Xenopus tropicalis: one gene and its partner. The protein of the gene in region 1 purifies or fractionates together with the protein of each later gene. This does not show direct contact. Links are inferred from orthologs where the notes say so. Each region holds a gene or a part of one and is shown on either strand. Other genes may lie near its edges.

Region 1 (8,915 bases):
CTACAGAATGTACAGTGTTAGCCTATATTTAGTTAATCAAATATATAGAATGCCTCTCCTGTCAAAACAATTTTAAAAACAAGCCCTTACAACTTGCATTATTATTGATATGTAAACAATTACCTAATAAGACTCCTTATGCTACATTGTGATTCTTGTTAGTCTACTATACAACATAAGGAATGTATTGGGTCATTGTCAAAAGCCTGGTTCTCCCTAAGGGCAATGGCGACTGCCTAGAGGAAATCATACTCCTTTCAAGTAACAAAATGCCATGCAGATCTTTTAATTCAAAAGACTTAAAAATTGCATTTTCTTTCCAGATGAATCAAGCAAAAAATGGGTAGGATCATTTCAAGGCTTTTCAGTTTTAAATGTTACTTTTAGTTATATCATCACCATCTGGAAGTAGAATGTCAAGTAGGTGATAACACACGCGATGTGCCATTGCCCTGATAAATCATCTGTAGATCTATCCATTCCACCTACTTTATGGAAATGGATCTATCTATTCCATCTACTTTATGGAAATTTGGCATAAACTGAGAAAATGTACTCTTTATGCTTCATTGGGGAGATGCAAATACTTTCATAGTACAGTGACATAATACTTACAAGCTAGCTTTTGCCCTTGATCTTGCAACTACAGGTGTTGATGGAATAGCATCATCCCCAATCCACATTTGAAGATAAGCAGCAGCGGCAGGCTTTTCATTCTGCAACAAAAAGGAAAAAAAAAATATTATATAATATAATTCTACTTGTAGGGAAGATTTATTTATGTCTGAAACACTAAAAATGTAAATGATATAAAAGTTGAATTATTAGGCTTAAACATTTAGGTTGTATTTTATTGTGAGAATGCACATTAAACAGCACAATAATCACAATATTTCCCTAACTGGAACATCAGTTAGGGAAATAATTTGAGGGACCACAGTCTATCACAGTACTAATTAGAGCCAGTAAGTTGGTCTCTAAATAAAAAGAGCAACATGGGCAATTTTGTATCCAGAATAAACTAGAGCAAGAATCCTGAGCTGCAGATCTGTAGGGACAGCTCTTCTTATGTAGGAATGACACTGTATTACTACAGAAATCAATGTAATTATGCATAAGATAGGCAACAGTTGGGAAATGCACGTGAGCAACAAATTTAAGAATGCAGTCTTCAAATGTATGACAGTATCTTTCTCCAACATGCCTTTAAATGACTCTGTAATGTCACTGTATACTTGTGTTTTGTCTCCACCATGTCAAATTAAGAATCTCACAGTGCACAAATGCAACACATGTTAAAACTCGTAAACTGTACAGGGCAGGGACCTCCTTCCTCTTCTTTTGTTAACAATCAGACTTAACCTTTAATGTAATTCTACTTTGTATTTATTACTGTATTGACCTACAGTAATTGTTCTATATGCAGCACTGCATACATAAGTAGCACTATATATACATGCATCCTATCAGCCCCGTCTTAGCCTTAACCTACCCTAATGCAATTTTCAGCAGAATATCTAACAAATAAAAACAGGAATTTGTATATAAAATCAATCATGTTGGTTTTTAATTATACCCCAAAAAACAAAGCCCAATTAAAACCCTTGAAGCTCATTACCTTTGGAGCTATCCTGTTAACAATATCAGAAATTTCAACAGTACATTTGCTCGCAGTCTGTTTTTTTCTTCTTCCATTTTCTAGAGCATAAGAATTTCACAGTAAATACATGCAAAATTGAAAACATAAAATGGAAAAAATAATCAATTTAAATCTAAAAATAAATAGATATGCCTTTTTATCTTAAAGGTTATAAGGACTCATTCATGAAGTAAGGCAAGTGCAAAATTGTGCACTCAAACTCTATTCACAACACCATGTGTGTCCAATACACACTGCTCTATACTTGCCCCAAAACATCTCTTAAGTTGTTATGCAATGTACAGGGCACCTATATGCAAGGGAGCCCTAAATTGAACACCTGCCTTGAGTTAAGGGTAATATCTAGGGTCTGGCACGCAACAAACTTCCACCCAATAATAACTGCACTGGCATTTTTGTGCCTATAGCATTGTATTTCTATTTATATATGAACACTACAATGTACAACATTATCTCCAAAAATACCAAAACCAGGATTTATGTAGCTAATAAAATAAACAGCCATTCAGCATTCAAGTGGTATGGTTGCCAATATGTAATGGAACAGAGGTACTATCCCCAAGCCACATATAAGAGGTGCAGAGCTTCTATATTACAGCATCACGTTCGCTAGCAAATGTATAGTTAGTGTTTCTTTAAAGGCGTAGTTCACCATTAATTTAATGTTTTGTGAATTAAAGAATGCCATGTTATTAGCAATTTTTCAGTTGGTCTACATTTTTTATTGTTTTTATTTGCCTTATTTTGGCAATTTTATTATCGCTGTTATTTTAAATTGGAGAGCTGCTGAAAAAAAAGTTAAAATATTTAAAATCCACAAAATAAAAGATTTAAGACTAATTGCAAATTGTCTAAGTATATCACTGGCTACATCCTAATAAATGTTAACTGAAAGGTAAACTAACTAAAACAAAGCAGATCAGTGAGGTTTTATTACTACTTATTTATTTAGGGATTAGTTTTTTCCAGGTACGTCATTTAGGCCACTGGCTGCCAGGTTAAATGGGACCTAGCCATCAGGTAACATTAAATTCCCAATATGTGTGTGAAACAGCTAATTGTAAACCTCGGTGAGAGCAGATTTTTAACAAAGCAGGTTTTCAGAAAACTGCGAGCACCACTTATCTGTCACTTTAATTCCATTAAGAAAATTGCATAATATGGCGGTTAGAAGTTTCTAAAACATGCTCGAGAAAACCTAGTAACAGTGCTACCTGTAGCAAAAACAGGAATCAGCGACACAGTTGCATACATATGACCAGTTTGGCCTGAAAATTTGATCGAATTTAACCTTAATGCCCAACTGTATGGGTGTATTTGTTACTATTGGATTGCAGAAAGTCTGCTCAGACAGTGTATGAAATCTGCCTATGCACAAAACATTACCAATATGCCTACGCAGCAAACATTACCGATTTTAAACGCTGTCGGCGAATATGGATCCCAAAAGATTTCATGTTGTTGATCAATGTCATTGGAGGGAGAATTGAAAGCTGGAGAGGAGTGTTTGCTTCTAGACAACCTTTTTGGAGTTTTCTTGTACGAAGTTGATTCTACGGGAACGGTTAAAGAGAAACAAACACTATTAAGCGATGCACTCATCACACTAGAAACACAATGGGCTGTATATGAATGAATCAAAAACTGACAGAACTCAGTATTATATCTTTATATTGCATTACAAATACAGTACATGTTCTGTAGTACCCTTAAAGGAGAAGGAAAGGCTAAGTCACTTGGGGGTGCCAAAATGTTAGGCACCCCCAAGTGACTTAGATCGCTTACATTTTACCCCGGGCTGGTGCCCCTGTACGGAGAGAACAGCACCAGCCCGGGGTAGCAGCGAGCGCTTCCTCCTTCCTGTAGCGCCGCGCGCGCATGCGCAGTAGAGTGAAAAGCCAAACTTAAACAAGAAAGTCGGCTTTTCACTCTACTGCGCATGCGCCGGCCCACGGATTTCGCCGGCAGAAGAGAGAGGAAGAGGAAACACTCCCTGCAGGTACCCCGGGCTGGTGCTGTTTTCTCCTAACAGGGGCACCAGCCCAGGATACAAGGTAAGCGATTAAAGTCACTTGGGGGTGCCTAACATTTGGCACCCCCAAGTGACTTAGGCTTTCCTTCTCCTTTCATTAAAGGAGACATATCCTATAAAAATAATGAATGTACCAATGAATTATACTCCTCTAGATATAGAAGGATTGTGCTTAAAAAAGTTGTGTTTCTGACTGATTTATTGAGAAATTCGCCCAAAACCCCACTAGCCCCGCCCATCTGTTCCACTTCCTGCTGGCTAAATTCTCTGGATGAGCTGGGGAGCCGGCGGCCCTCCGTACCCTGCACTGTAGGATAGGAACCAATCAGCAGCTAGGCTGACCTGATAGGGAACTGAAGCCTGTCTTTGCTTGTGTGACTGCAGGGCTGTGATTGGCTCTCCCCCTCTTACTGTGCTTCTGGCAGGGACCGTTAGGACACGCCCACCCTTCATTTGAAACACAGATATGGACCTGAGTGGATCTATAGGGAGCTCCAATAATGTTTAGCCCAAAGTGAAACCAACACCATATATTATTCATAACTGCCTACAGGGTTAGGGTTTTCCCATTTATCCAAGTAAAGTAAAAGTTCCTATAATGTATATGAGACTTAGACCAAGGGAAGAAGTACAGAAGAACCAAGGAGATGGCAGGACTCTTATTATGCACGTCTGCAGGTCAGGCTGTCAGTAGTAGGGTAGGCCTGTCCTGCACAGAGGCAACTCCAGAGGACGGCCATAGGGACTGTTCCTCTAGGTACAAATCTCTCCCTCCCCAGAAGCTCTCCTGGGGTTCAGGGTCCCCCTGGCTTGCGGCTAAGGGATGGATGGGGGCAGGGCACAGCGATACCAACACTGGCAGCAGTGAAACGCTCTTCTCTAACTAAATAAGCGATTTTTTCTTTAAAACTAACAGAGCAGCTTTACCCTCCGCACATAAACCCGCAGCAGATTTACAATCTTCCAGGCACCGGAAGTAGAGTCTTTCAACCCATTTACAATAGAGAGCGAACCGCTGCAGAGAAATGCCTACCCCCGGAAAGTGCCGCTTCCTGCGGGGCAGTCCCAACTTTCCTTACACAGCCCGCAGCCCCGCACCGCTGCTTAAACATCCCGCTACTCCGGTAACATCCAGCTCAGCAGCTCCTGCCTGGCACCGAGTACTGACGTCACAAGTCTCATCTCGCGAGAGTGCGGCGCACGAATACGTCTATAAGCGCGGTGACGCGGTACGTACAGCTTTGTTAGGGAATGAGGGCAATCCTCTGTATGTGTTATGTAATGACAAGCCGGTAGTTTGCTGTGTGTATGGCAGGCTGTGGCTACTTTCTATGTATTTTGGGTTTTTTTTCCCAATAATATGCCCACTGACTCAGCTACAAATATATGACTTAAACTTAGCACTTTATGTTTTCTCAATAGAACAAATAACCTACATTTTTTCTTTGCCAGGTGGGTACTGGCTATAACTCAATGGCTTCCACTGGAGTCTTTGCCTCACTAAAGGGCAATACACATTATAGGGCTGATTTACTAAGACACGAATTTGAATCCGAATGGGAAAAATTCCGATTGTAAAACGAACGTTTTGCGAGTTTTTCGTACTTTTTGCGATTTTTTCGTAAATTGTCGCGACTTTTTCGTAGCCGTTACGACTTGCACGAATAGTCGCCACTTTTTCGTAGCCGTTACGATATGCTCGTATCTTGTCGCAACTTTTTCGTATTGAGCGCTCGTAACCTGCGGGCAAAACTTTCAGACTTAGCATGATTTTGGAAGCCTCCCATAGAGCTCAATGACACTCTGCAGCTCCAACCCGGCCCAAGGAAAGTCTCCCATAGGGCTCAATGGCACTCTGCAGCTCCAACCTGGCCCAAGGAAAGTCTCCCATAGGGCTCAATGGCACTCTGCAGCTCCAACCCGGCCCAAGGAAAGTCACCCATAGGGCTCAATGGCACTCTGTAGCTCCAACCTGGCCCAAGGAAAGTCACCCATAGGGCTCAATGGCACTCTGCAGCTCCAACCTGGCCCAAGGAAAGTCTCCCATAGGGCTCAATGGCACTCTGTAGCTCCAACCTGGCCCAAGGAAAGTCTCCCATAGGGCTCAATGGCACTCTGCAGCTCCAACCCGGCCCAAGGAAAGTCTCCCATAGGGCTCAATGGCACTCTGCAGCTCCAACCTGGCCCAAGGAAAGTCTCCCATAGGGCTCAATGGCACTCTGCAGCTCCAACCCGGCCCAAGGAAAGTCACCCATAGGGCTCAATGGCACTCTGTAGCTCCAACCTGGCCCAAGGAAAGTCACCCATAGGGCTCAATGGCACTCTGCAGCTCCAACCTGGCCCAAGGAAAGTCTCCCATAGGGCTCAATGGCACTCTGCAGCTCCAACCTGGCCCAAGGAAAGTCTCCCATAGAGCTCAATGGCACTCTGCAGCTCCAACCTGGCCCAAGGAAAGTCTCCCATAGAGCTCAATGGCACTCTGCAGCTCCAACCTGGCCCAAGGAAAGTCTCCCATAGAGCTCAATGGCACTCTGCAGCTCCAACCTGGCCCAAGGAAAGTCTCCCATAGGGCTCAATGGCACTCTGCAGCTCCAACCTGGCCCAAGGAAAGTCTCCCATAGAGCTCAATGGCACTCTGCAGCTCCAACCTGGCCCAAGGAATGTCTCCCATAGGACTCAATGGCACTCTGCAGCTCCAACCCGGCCCAAGGAAAGTCTCCCATAGGGCTCAATGGCACTCTGCAGCTCCAACCCGGCCCAAGGAAAGTCTCCCATAGGGCTCAATAGCACTCTGCAGCTCCAACCCGGCCCAAGGAAAGTCTCCCATAGGGCTCAATGGCACTCTGCAGCTCCAACCTGGCCCAAGGAAAGTCTCCCATAGGGCTCAATAGCACTCTGCAGCTCCAACCCGGGCCAAGGAAAGTCTCCCATAGGGCTCAATGGCACTCTGCAGCCCCAACCCGGCCCAAGGAAAGTCTCCCATAGGGCTCAATGGCACTCTGCAGCTCCAACCCGGCCCAAGAAAAATTCTCCCATAGGGCTCAATGGCACTCTGCAGCTCCAACCTGGCCCAAGGAAAGTCTTCCATAGGGCTCAATGGCACTCTGCAGCTCCAACCCGGCCCAAGGAAAGTCTCCCATAGGGCTCAATGGCACTCTGCAGCTCCAACCTGGCCCAAGGAAAGTCTCCCATAGGGCTCAATGGCACTCTGCAGCTCCAACCCGGCCCAAGGAAAGTCTCCCATAGGGCTCAATGGCACTCTGCAGCTCCAACCAGGCCCAAGGAAAGTCTCCCATAGGGCTCAATGGCACTCTGCAGCTCCAACCCGGCCCAAGGAAAGTCTCCCATAGGGCTCAATGGCACTCTGCAGCTCCAACCTGGCCCAAGGAAAGTCTCCCATAGGACTCAATGGCACTCTGCAGCTCCAACCTGGCCCAAGGAAAGACTCCCATAGGGCTCAATGGCACTCTGCAGCTCCAACCTGGCCCTAGGAAAGTCTCCCATAGGGCTCAATGGCACTCTGCAGCTCCAACCTGGCCCAAGGAAAGTCTCCCATAGGGCTCAATGGCACTCTGCAGCTCCAACCTGGCCCAAGGAAAGTCTCCCATAGGGCTCAATGGCACTCTGCAGCTCCAACCTGGCCCAAGGAAAGTCTCCCATAGGGCTCAATGGCACTCTGCAGCTCCAACCCGGCCCAAGGAAAGTCTCCCATAGGGCTCAATGGCACTCTGCAGCTCCAACCCAGCCCAAGGAAAGCCTCCCATAGGGCTCAATGGCACTCTGCAGCTCCAACCTGGCCCAAGGAAAGTCTCCCATAGGGCTCAATGGCACTCTGCAGCTCCAACCCGGCCCAAGGAAAGTTTCCCATAGGGCTCAATGGCACTCTGCAGCTCCAACCCAGCCCAAGGAAAGCCTCCCATAGGGCTCAATGGCACTCTGCAGCTCCAACCCGGCCCAAGGAAAGTCTCCCATAGGGCTCAATGGCACTCTGCAGCTCCAACCCGGCCCAAGGAAAGTCTCCCATAGGGCTCAATGGCACTCTGCAGCTCCAACCTGGCCCAAGGATAGTCTCCCATAGGGCTCAATGGCACTCTGCAGCTCCAACCCGGCCCAAGGAAAGTCTCCCATAGGGCTCAATGGCACTCTGCAGCTCCAACCCGGCCCAAGGAAAGCCTCCCATAGGGCTCAATGGCACTCTGCAGCTCCAACCCGGCCCAAGGAAAGCCTCCCATAGGGCTCAATGGCACTCTGCAGCTCCAACCTGGCCCAAGGAAAGTCTCCCATAGGGCTCAATGGCACTCTGCAGCTCCAACCTGGCCCAAGGAAAGTCTCCCATAGGGCTCAATGGCACTCTGCAGCTCCAACCCGACCCAAGGAAAGTCTCCCATAGGGCTCAATGGCACTCTGCAGCTCCAACCCGACCCAAGGAAAGTCTCCCATAGGGCTCAATGGCACTCTGCAGCTCCAACCCGGCCCAAGGAAAGTCTCCCATAGGGCTCAATGGCACTCTGCAGCTCCAACCCGGCCCAAGGAAAGTCTCCCATAGGGCTCAATGGCACTCTGCAGCTCCAACCCGGCCCAAGGAAAGTCTCCCATAGGGCTCAATGGCACTCTGCAGCTCCAACCTGGCCCAAGGAAAGTCTCCCATAGGGCTCAATGGCACTCTGCAGCTCCAACCCGGCCCAAGGAAAGCCTCCCATAGGGCTCAATGGCACTCTGCAGCTCCAACCTGGCCCAAGGAAAGTCTCCCATAGGGCTCAATGGCACTCTGCAGCTCCAACCCGGCCCAAGGAAAGTCTCCCATAGGGCTCAATGGCACTCTGCAGCTCCAACCTGGCCCAAGGAAAGTCTCCCATAGGGCTCAATGGCACTCTGCAGCTCCAACCTGGCCCAAGGAAAGTCTCCCATAGAGCTCAATGGCACTCTGCAGCTCCAACCTGGCCCAAGGAATGTCTCCCATAGGACTCAATGGCACTCTGCAGCTCCAACCCGGCCCAAGGAAAGTCTCCCATAGGGCTCAATGGCACTCTGCAGCTCCAACCCGGCCCAAGGAAAGTCTCCCATAGGGCTCAATAGCACTCTGCAGCTCCAACCCGGCCCAAGGAAAGTCTCCCATAGGGCTCAATGGCACTCTGCAGCTCCAACCTGGCCCAAGGAAAATCTCCCATAGGGCTCAATAGCACTCTGCAGCTCCAACCCGGCCCAAGGAAAGTCTCCCATAGG
Region 2 (8,164 bases), about 89 Mb from region 1:
AAATTATTTATTTTTCAAAAAAGTGTTCCAAAACAGAAACATATTATACAGAAAATACTATACAAAATGTTTTATTGTAATGTTTTAACAGATGCATGGCATCTCCAGCAAAAGAAAACCATTTACTGTAATGTATTGTAACTATCGTACTCTATTGTAATAACATAAACAGGTATTTTCTGCCTAAAACAGCAGACATTTTCAAACCTTTTTGAAAGGAAAACATTTAAAGTTTCCATATTTTGTTCCTTATATGCTTGTAACTCAACCCAGAAATGATAGAACACGTATTCTAACAAATATACATCTACAGTTAATTACAAATGTACTTATTCAAAATCTGACAGAACAAGAGATGTTCCACATGAGCAACATCACATATACGGTGCCCACCCCAAGTACATCTGGCTAAGAAGGTTCTCATCTGTGGCTTCTTGGATCAGATAATGGACATGTCCTTCAATTGAGAGCGGAAGTCCCTTTACACGATTCCTAGTCTTAATTACACCTTGTAGCCGCTGCTCTATGTCAAGAACATGTGTTTTGGCCTAACAGAAAGTAAGAAAGTGAGAAAACAAAACAAATAATGGTCATTCTAGTTTAAAAGGATTTTTTCTAGAGAAACAGCAACAGTGCAATTTAGAGCAAATTGACAAGGACATTCTTACTGATCACTGCTAATAGTTCTGTATAGTAGTTGGCAATGTTCATTAACTGTGCAAGTTTTAAATTGAATCAGAAGGCTGCATTTGTTTAATAAATTAGACATTTTGTGTTAAAGTGCAAAAAATAAAAAAAACAAAAAAAAGCTCAATTCACATTTTTTGTAAATCGTTTTCCCCAGAAGTACAGCATAATTGCACCCTTCCACAAACTAGCACATATATTTGTACTAGCTAGTGAATTTTGGTACAATCTGAATCTGTAATGTAAGGCAGGACACGGGGGTGCACTTACAAGCTTTTTAACTTCATGTATCTCAAATGATGCAGCACTGAGCTGCTGTAGGAGCCGCACCTTAAAGGGGTTGTTGGACAACATTCACAAATCACAGATCACATTAATAGAACAATCTTTGCAACATACATAGTTAACATAAAATGTGCAACATAACAGTATGTTAGATTTGCAATATGCTGAGTCTGTTTGCCTAAATCATTGCAAGGGAGAAATTAACCAATGGCCTTTCAGTTTATGCAACTGGTTAGAAGTGCAGAAGGGTCCAACAGGGAAAAAGCAAAAGCAAAGCCTGGAAGTGATGATGTAAGCATTTTGTCAGGTTCAAAATAGGCCATTCCCATCCCTTCAGAAAACTGATCAGATAGACAAAAGAAGTGATTTAACAGGTACAACAAGTAGCTTTTTACATTGTTTTTACAAGCATGAAGCCCCCCCTACCTTCCTGTTCAGCGCTCCCTATCTCTCTGACTACAGAGCAGTCAAAGAGGAGAGCCTTCTGTGCCTGCCTGACAGACAAGAAGCTTTCTGGGAATGCAGAGAGAAGCAGGAGATGGTGTGCAGCAGCAGATTTTTTTTTCTGTGCTCATACATACCTGTGCATTCCCAGAAAGCTTATTCTTAAATTAATGAAATGAGCCTTTATATACTGTACGGCATGAGGTACATATATAACTTTATACAACACCAACCTTTTCATTCACCACTTCTCCGGTCTCGTTGACTTGACCTTTACTTCCCCCTCTTGCTGGTTTACTCCATTCCACCAAAGGATCATGTAAGAAGGGTTTCAGCACACTGCAATAAACACACACAACCCCATTTTAACCCTATGGCAGTTTGATGTGCATCTGTCACATAAGGGTAAGGTCACACAAGGTGGATTGGATAAGCGTAGGCTGACAACCTGCCAGTATGCTTTAAAATTTTTCTTGTTCCTGCACCCGGAAGCACTGAATTCGCCAGGGTGCAGACACACGCAGCCGATATCCACCCACAAACACCCAGTCTGGCTTTTGTTAACAGATATTAGCTGTGTGTGCCTGCACTCAATGCTTCTAGGTGCAGGCACAGGAAGATTTTTTTCAAGCGTACAGGTTTTGTCAGCCTGTTCATATCTGCAGGCTGACAATAAACCCGTTTGCCCTTGCCCTTACACAAGATCATTGTAATTTCTATGAAACACAATGAAAAGTACAGCTTCTGCTTGGGTGCAGGCACATGCAGTGGAGCAGAGGTCGGGACGAAAATAATGGCTTTCTTATTTTTGGGCCAACCTCTGCTCTGCTGCATATGCCTGCACCCAAGCTTCTCATGGAGTCAATGCTCCATGTGCCCTAAGCCTAATAGCAACTGACTGTCGCACCTAGATTTCAGATCCAAAAATGCACACTTTTGCAAAGCACTGGGACCTGAAATATACATGTAGAAGCCCAAGAGGGAATACAAACCGACAGGCAGTTGCAATTACACTCAATGACATTAACAGAGTATTAAATATCTGGTGTGCCATAAGCCTAAGATTTTCGACAAATTAAGATTACTGTACAAACATGTTGATACTGAAGGGAATGTAATGTTCAACTAATGCAACACCTAATCTATTAAACATATATACCATTCACTACAGTTCCATGCATTAAAATCCATGCAGAGTTTTCTTATAGATATGCTTTATATATTGCTGGTGCCCTCCTGTGGCCTCGTACATGCCATCACAGCTAACTTAGACTTAGGGGCACATTTACTAATCCATGAATGTCCGAAAAGCGTCCAAATGCGTTTTTTTCCGTAATGATCGGTATTTTGCGATTTCTCTGTAAATTGTCGCGACTTTTTCGTAGCCGTCGCGCAGAGTACGAAAGTTTCGGATTCATTCAAGCTTCAGTATCGTGACTTTCCTTGGGCCAGGTTGGAGCTGCAGAGTGCCATTGAGTACTATGGGAGGCTTCTAAAATCATGCAAAGTCTGAAAGGTTTGCCCCCCGTTTACGAGCGCTCAATACGAAAAAGTCGCGACAATATACAAGCAAATCATAACGGCTACGAAAAAGTCGCGACAATTCGCGCAAGTCGTAATGGCTACGAAAAAGTCGTAACGGCAACGAAAAAAATCGCAAAAAATTCGAGTTGCAAAATGTTCGTTTCCAATTTGAATTTTTCCCATTCGCATTCGGATTCGTGGATTAGTAAATGTTCCAACATATAGTGGAAAGCCTTCCAAGAAGAATAGGTGCTGTTATAGAGTCTGGATCTGGACCCTTCTGCTTAGATATTGTACCTGCTAATTGGTACAGCCCCAAAACCTAGGCCAACATCTGTCTCCCAGTGCCTCCATCACAACCTCGTACATGCCCTCTGCTTATTTGTTAGCTCTAGCGAGATGAGAAACTGCAGCCACCCAATAAACCCAGAGCAACAGACAGAGAGATACTGAAAGAAAAAAGTGTGTTTATATTGCTGTCCTGATAGATTTTCCACTGTGAGAGAGTAAGAGAGAAAGCCTGATTCTGCAGAGAGTTCTGTGTGTCTGAGAAAGGGAGCAAGCATGTGCCTTTGTGAGAGATCTGTGCGAATGAGAGAGAGAGGGGGGTGGAAGCTTGAGTATGCATACGAGAGGATACAAGAGAGTAATTTGTGTTTGAAAATGAAAAAACATGAGTCTCGCAAACTCTAATAGTGTACAAGTAATTTCAATTTATTAAGGCCCCCATACACGGGCCGACTCGGCAGCTTATCTGCCCATGTAGGGGCAGAAACGAGCGGGCTGGCCGACCGATATCTGGCCTGAAATTGGCCAGATATCAATCGGCCAGGATAAAAGATTCAGTCGGATCGGGGGCCGCATCGGCTCGTTGATGCGGTCCCCGAACCGACTGCCCCATTGCCACCTACATAATCCGGTCGTTTGGCCCCAGGGCCAAACGATCGGATTATTTTTTTTTTTAACTTCAAGCTCCCCGATATCGCCCACCCGTAGGTGGGGATATCGGGGGAAGATCCGCTCGCTTGGCGATCTCGGCAAGCGAGCGGATCTTACCGTGTATGGGGACCTTTAGAGGTGTGGGATTTTGCCTGGAGCAACCCACTAATGGTGGCCATAAACTGTTCAGTTCTCTACAGCATCCAACTGATACTTCTGACCAAACATAAAAAAAATATTAAGAAAAAAAATCCAGTAAACTGTATGAAAAACACAGCAAGTTACACAGCGCTTCACATTAATTATTTACAACAAACAGCCCTCTGTAGCCATGACTAGATTTAGATTAAGTGAGAATAAGTGAGTTGGAATGTTTTTGCACAATAATAGCTGGTGCCGACCTACTTGCAGCACATAACGGATACAAAAATAAAACCACTAAAAGATTACCTCATAAGTGGCTCCCTCTGGTCTCTCATTAACCTCATAGTGACTTCACATGCTCGTCGAAAAAGTCCTTCTGTCCCCATGGGGCCCATACCATTGACCATGTTATGAGTTAGGCGAAAGGGGACAATCTCTGGAACTTCAAATGTTTCACCCTAATTAAAAACAAATTTGTCCTTTATACACAACTGCAATCTATAACTAAATACTTTAATCAAATATTTACCTTTTATATTATACCATTTAATTTTTTAGTGTATTCTGTCTTGATACCCAATTATATCAGTAAAGTACAAATAACACAAGGTTAAGTCATTTTTTCACTAGTACCTAAGCAATAAATGTATAGTGGTTAAACAGCATGATTCAAATGTCCATGCATTTGGACATATTGTTATATAAACTACAGGTTCAATTATATTAGTGGCCCTCTAACACTTTCTCCTATACTAATGTCATTCATATTTATGTAAAGCTTACCTTGTTAAAGAGGCAGTTGAAATCCACATGGACACATTCCCCAGTAAGTGAGTCAAAAAGAATGTTCTCTCCATGGCGGTCCCCTAGGCCCAGTATGTAACCTACCATAGACATCACAGCAGTAGAACGGCAATAGGCTGATCTGCTGTTATACCTGCAAACAGAAAAAGTCAAATGGACTCGTTTTAGGAAGTAAAAAGTGGTGGCAAGCCAAGTGATATATTTGACCTAAGGCTAATGCCACCCGAGAATCCACCCCTATTGTTGTGCCTGCATGGGGAGCCATTGCATCGGCCCAGGTGCTGGCACACAAAGAAGAATTTGTTGCAAAACTGTTCGCGTATGCAGTTATATGTCAAATTCCACTCAGTATACCTGCACCTGGGTTAAAGCACTATTTCTGAGTGCATACACAACATTAAGATTTTTGAAGCATAGGGACCTAACTGTCCATCAAAATCTAGCATTAATTCATTACACTGACACATAAGGAGAGAGAGAGATTGCTGGGGAATAGGGGGAAATAGTGAAGATCAATTCAATTTTGTAAACGCTACAGAATTTTTATTTATGTTTAGAAAGGTTTCTTTTAGGCACCACCGTGCCACAAAGGTTAGCACTGCTGCCTTGCTGTGTTGGGTCTCTAGGTTCAATTCCAACTAGGGAACTAACGGACAGAAGCTTTTCTATTCTTCCTGTGTGGGTTTCCACCAGATACTAGTGTTTCCTCCCACACTCCAAAACATAGGGGAAGGTTACTTGGATTCTGCTCAAATCAACCATAATTAGTGTGAACAGGACTTAGATTGTAAGCTCAACTAGGGCAGGACTGATTTATATTGCCTGTAAAGCACTGCAGAAATGTGTCAGCACTATATAAATAAAAGAACAATACTTTACTAATACTTTACTACTTTACTAAAAATAGTCATGGTTTCAGGTATAAATGCTAACAGTTTACAACAAAACAATACATATAGGACAGTGTAGATATGTGTACCCCTGTAGTAAAGAATAAGGTTACTAGCGATATATATTTACTGACCAAGAAGTAGGATCAGGAAATGTTCTTAAAAACCATTCATGGAACAAAGGGGGGTGACGAGGCAACAGAGCCTCTTTAAAGACTTTCAGCTTTTCTTGCAGCGGTGCTCCCTTGGGAAGCATACATTGCCGGAGTTCCTTTCCTCCCATGTATATACCTGTCAAAGGTAAAAATAAAAGTACAAGTTACTAAGTGCATCTGTCACTCAAATTCAATAGACTGACCTATCTGCCCATTTATATGTGCTATTAAATGCAATGATATGATATCTGATCCCTATGCCAAGCACTAGTAATAATTTGGCTTTACTTGCTAACGGCACTACTGCTAGTCCAGCTTAACAAGTACTTTTTTTCAGTAGACATCTATTCCCTGATATTGCTCTTCTATTTACTTCCTTCTTAATCATGTATTTATGCTGGATTTTGTCTTGCAAGTTTCCAGGCCACTATTGCTTGTCAATAGATTATTTGTAAAAACAGAGTTCAAAATGCCTGAAATCGTTCCATGTGCCATTGCCCTAAGGAGTCTATGAATGCCTTCTGCTTCATGGTTGGTCACTTACCTAGTGGGGCAAGATAAAAGAGAGCTAAGATGGCTGATTACCTAATGTGCCACTAGCCTAAACACATATCTGAGAAGTAAAAGACTGTGCTAAAAATATAAATTAAGTAACTCTAAATAGAATAAAAAAATCTGAGCTATTGACATGGGCAATAGTCCTTTTCTATCTGTTTGTTATGATATTTTTAGTTTACAACAGCAAAAGTGTCAAGTGAACCAGTACACAGACAGCCAAAACTGTAAAAGGACTACATCTGTATATATTCCATTATTGTAACCATAACCCTACAATTGCAGTTAAGACATTGAGGCACTATGGCTGGTGCGCAATGCCTACACAATGCTTTTAGATCATTTTCATTCCCTTGAAAGGGTTATTTTATGTACCTTTTTCCTTGTACAGCTTGATCAATATGTTCCGGAATCCTGCAGTATTATTCACCCACTCTATTATTCCACATTCATCATTCAGTGGAATGACAGCATAGGTCCGTATATGAAGTTCTCTCCTTCGTGATTCGGCATCTTTACGTAAACACTGCTCAAGCAATACATTATTATAACAAGAGGTTCAAATAAAGGTGAACATTGTATGTTTAGAATATTTTGGATATATATATATATATTTATAATACATAATTGTTTCAATATTGATAGGTAAGAAATCCTATGTCAGTAGGTCAATAGCTACAGGACTGCTCAAATTTATCATTAAATTAAAAAAATTATGTTCAGGACCGCTAAACAATACCTTTGTACAGGAAATGAAAGACAGTAAGGGCTCTGGTACACGGGGAGATTAGTCGCCCGTGGCAAAACTCCCTGCTCGCGGGCGACTAATCTCCCCGAGTTGCCTTCCCCCTGCCATCCCACCAGCGAACATGTAAGTCGCCGGCGGGATGGCAGACGCGCGAGGCTTTTTCGGCGATTTCCCGAAATCGCCCTGCCGCGTCTGCCATCCCGACCGGCGACTTACATGTTCGCCGGTGGGATGGCAGGGGGAAGGCAACTCGGGGAGATTAGTCGCCCGCGAGCAGGGAGTTTTGCCACGTGCGACTAATCTCCCCGTGTACCAGAGCCCTAAGACAGAGATGGTAGAAGAGGGTATTCTTATTTTATGTCATTCCCCTGACTAAATAAATTGCTGGGTGTCACTTGCCTTGTTGATTAAAGAGTTAAATTCCATCAGCCGGCAATCCTTTCTAAGATCATCTTTAGGTTTACACATCATAATGTATGATTTCCCATCTGAACCTTTTAGAGAAATTTTCTTTGGTTTCTGGAGAGAAGGCAGTATCTCTACCTGTGTTTAATTAAAAGCAAAACAGCACTGTGTTTAGACTGATAGCCAGCTCAGAGAGACAACACAAAACATTACACAGGGCAGCTGATACAGAAGGTGGTTATCTCCAAAAACAGCAAAATGATGAGGTCTTCCACTATCAGCAGAAGTGTCTGCCACATACAAGGCATTTCCCTGCAACTCAAGGGGACAAATTGCTGTGCTATAAACCTTACAGTAAATACAAGTCAACAATTTAACATTTCAGGACCTTCTCCAGACATCTTTAAAAATAAACTTATATTTCCTATAACAACCCCCCCCCCCATAACACCCCTCAGTGCTCTGTACAATTGAGGAACAACAGTCTCAAATTGAATGATTATGTTTGGTTATCAATAAATTCTGCTAATAAATACTCTGGCCACGTCAGTGCAACCTAAACTAGCTAAAACTGTAAGCGTTGT

What was found. The genes of interacting proteins can lie anywhere in the genome.
Region 2: the proteins of etaa1 (region 1) and atr purify together in Homo sapiens (affinity purification with western blotting; 3 studies listed by BioGRID, with this or other methods). This does not show direct contact. The link is inferred for Xenopus tropicalis from reciprocal best matches to the Homo sapiens genes ETAA1 and ATR.

Annotation. Positions count from the first base shown.
Region 1 is NC_030681.2:30,917,057-30,925,971, forward strand, and holds the start of etaa1 (ewing's tumor-associated antigen 1), read right to left. Parts: upstream 4,838-8,915; 5' UTR 4,805-4,837; coding exon 4,726-4,804; intron 3,214-4,725; coding exon 3,073-3,213; intron 1,699-3,072; coding exon 1,619-1,698; intron 717-1,618; coding exon 616-716; intron 1-615. UniProt on the Homo sapiens protein: Replication stress response protein that accumulates at DNA damage sites and promotes replication fork progression and integrity.
Region 2 is NC_030681.2:119,610,226-119,618,389, forward strand, and holds part of atr (serine/threonine-protein kinase ATR), read right to left. Parts: intron 7,719-8,164; coding exon 7,575-7,718; intron 6,954-7,574; coding exon 6,803-6,953; intron 6,009-6,802; coding exon 5,852-6,008; intron 4,961-5,851; coding exon 4,807-4,960; intron 4,482-4,806; coding exon 4,330-4,481; intron 1,756-4,329; coding exon 1,650-1,755; intron 549-1,649; coding exon 375-548; 3' UTR 1-374. UniProt on the Homo sapiens protein: Serine/threonine protein kinase which activates checkpoint signaling upon genotoxic stresses such as ionizing radiation (IR), ultraviolet light (UV), or DNA replication stalling, thereby acting as a DNA damage sensor.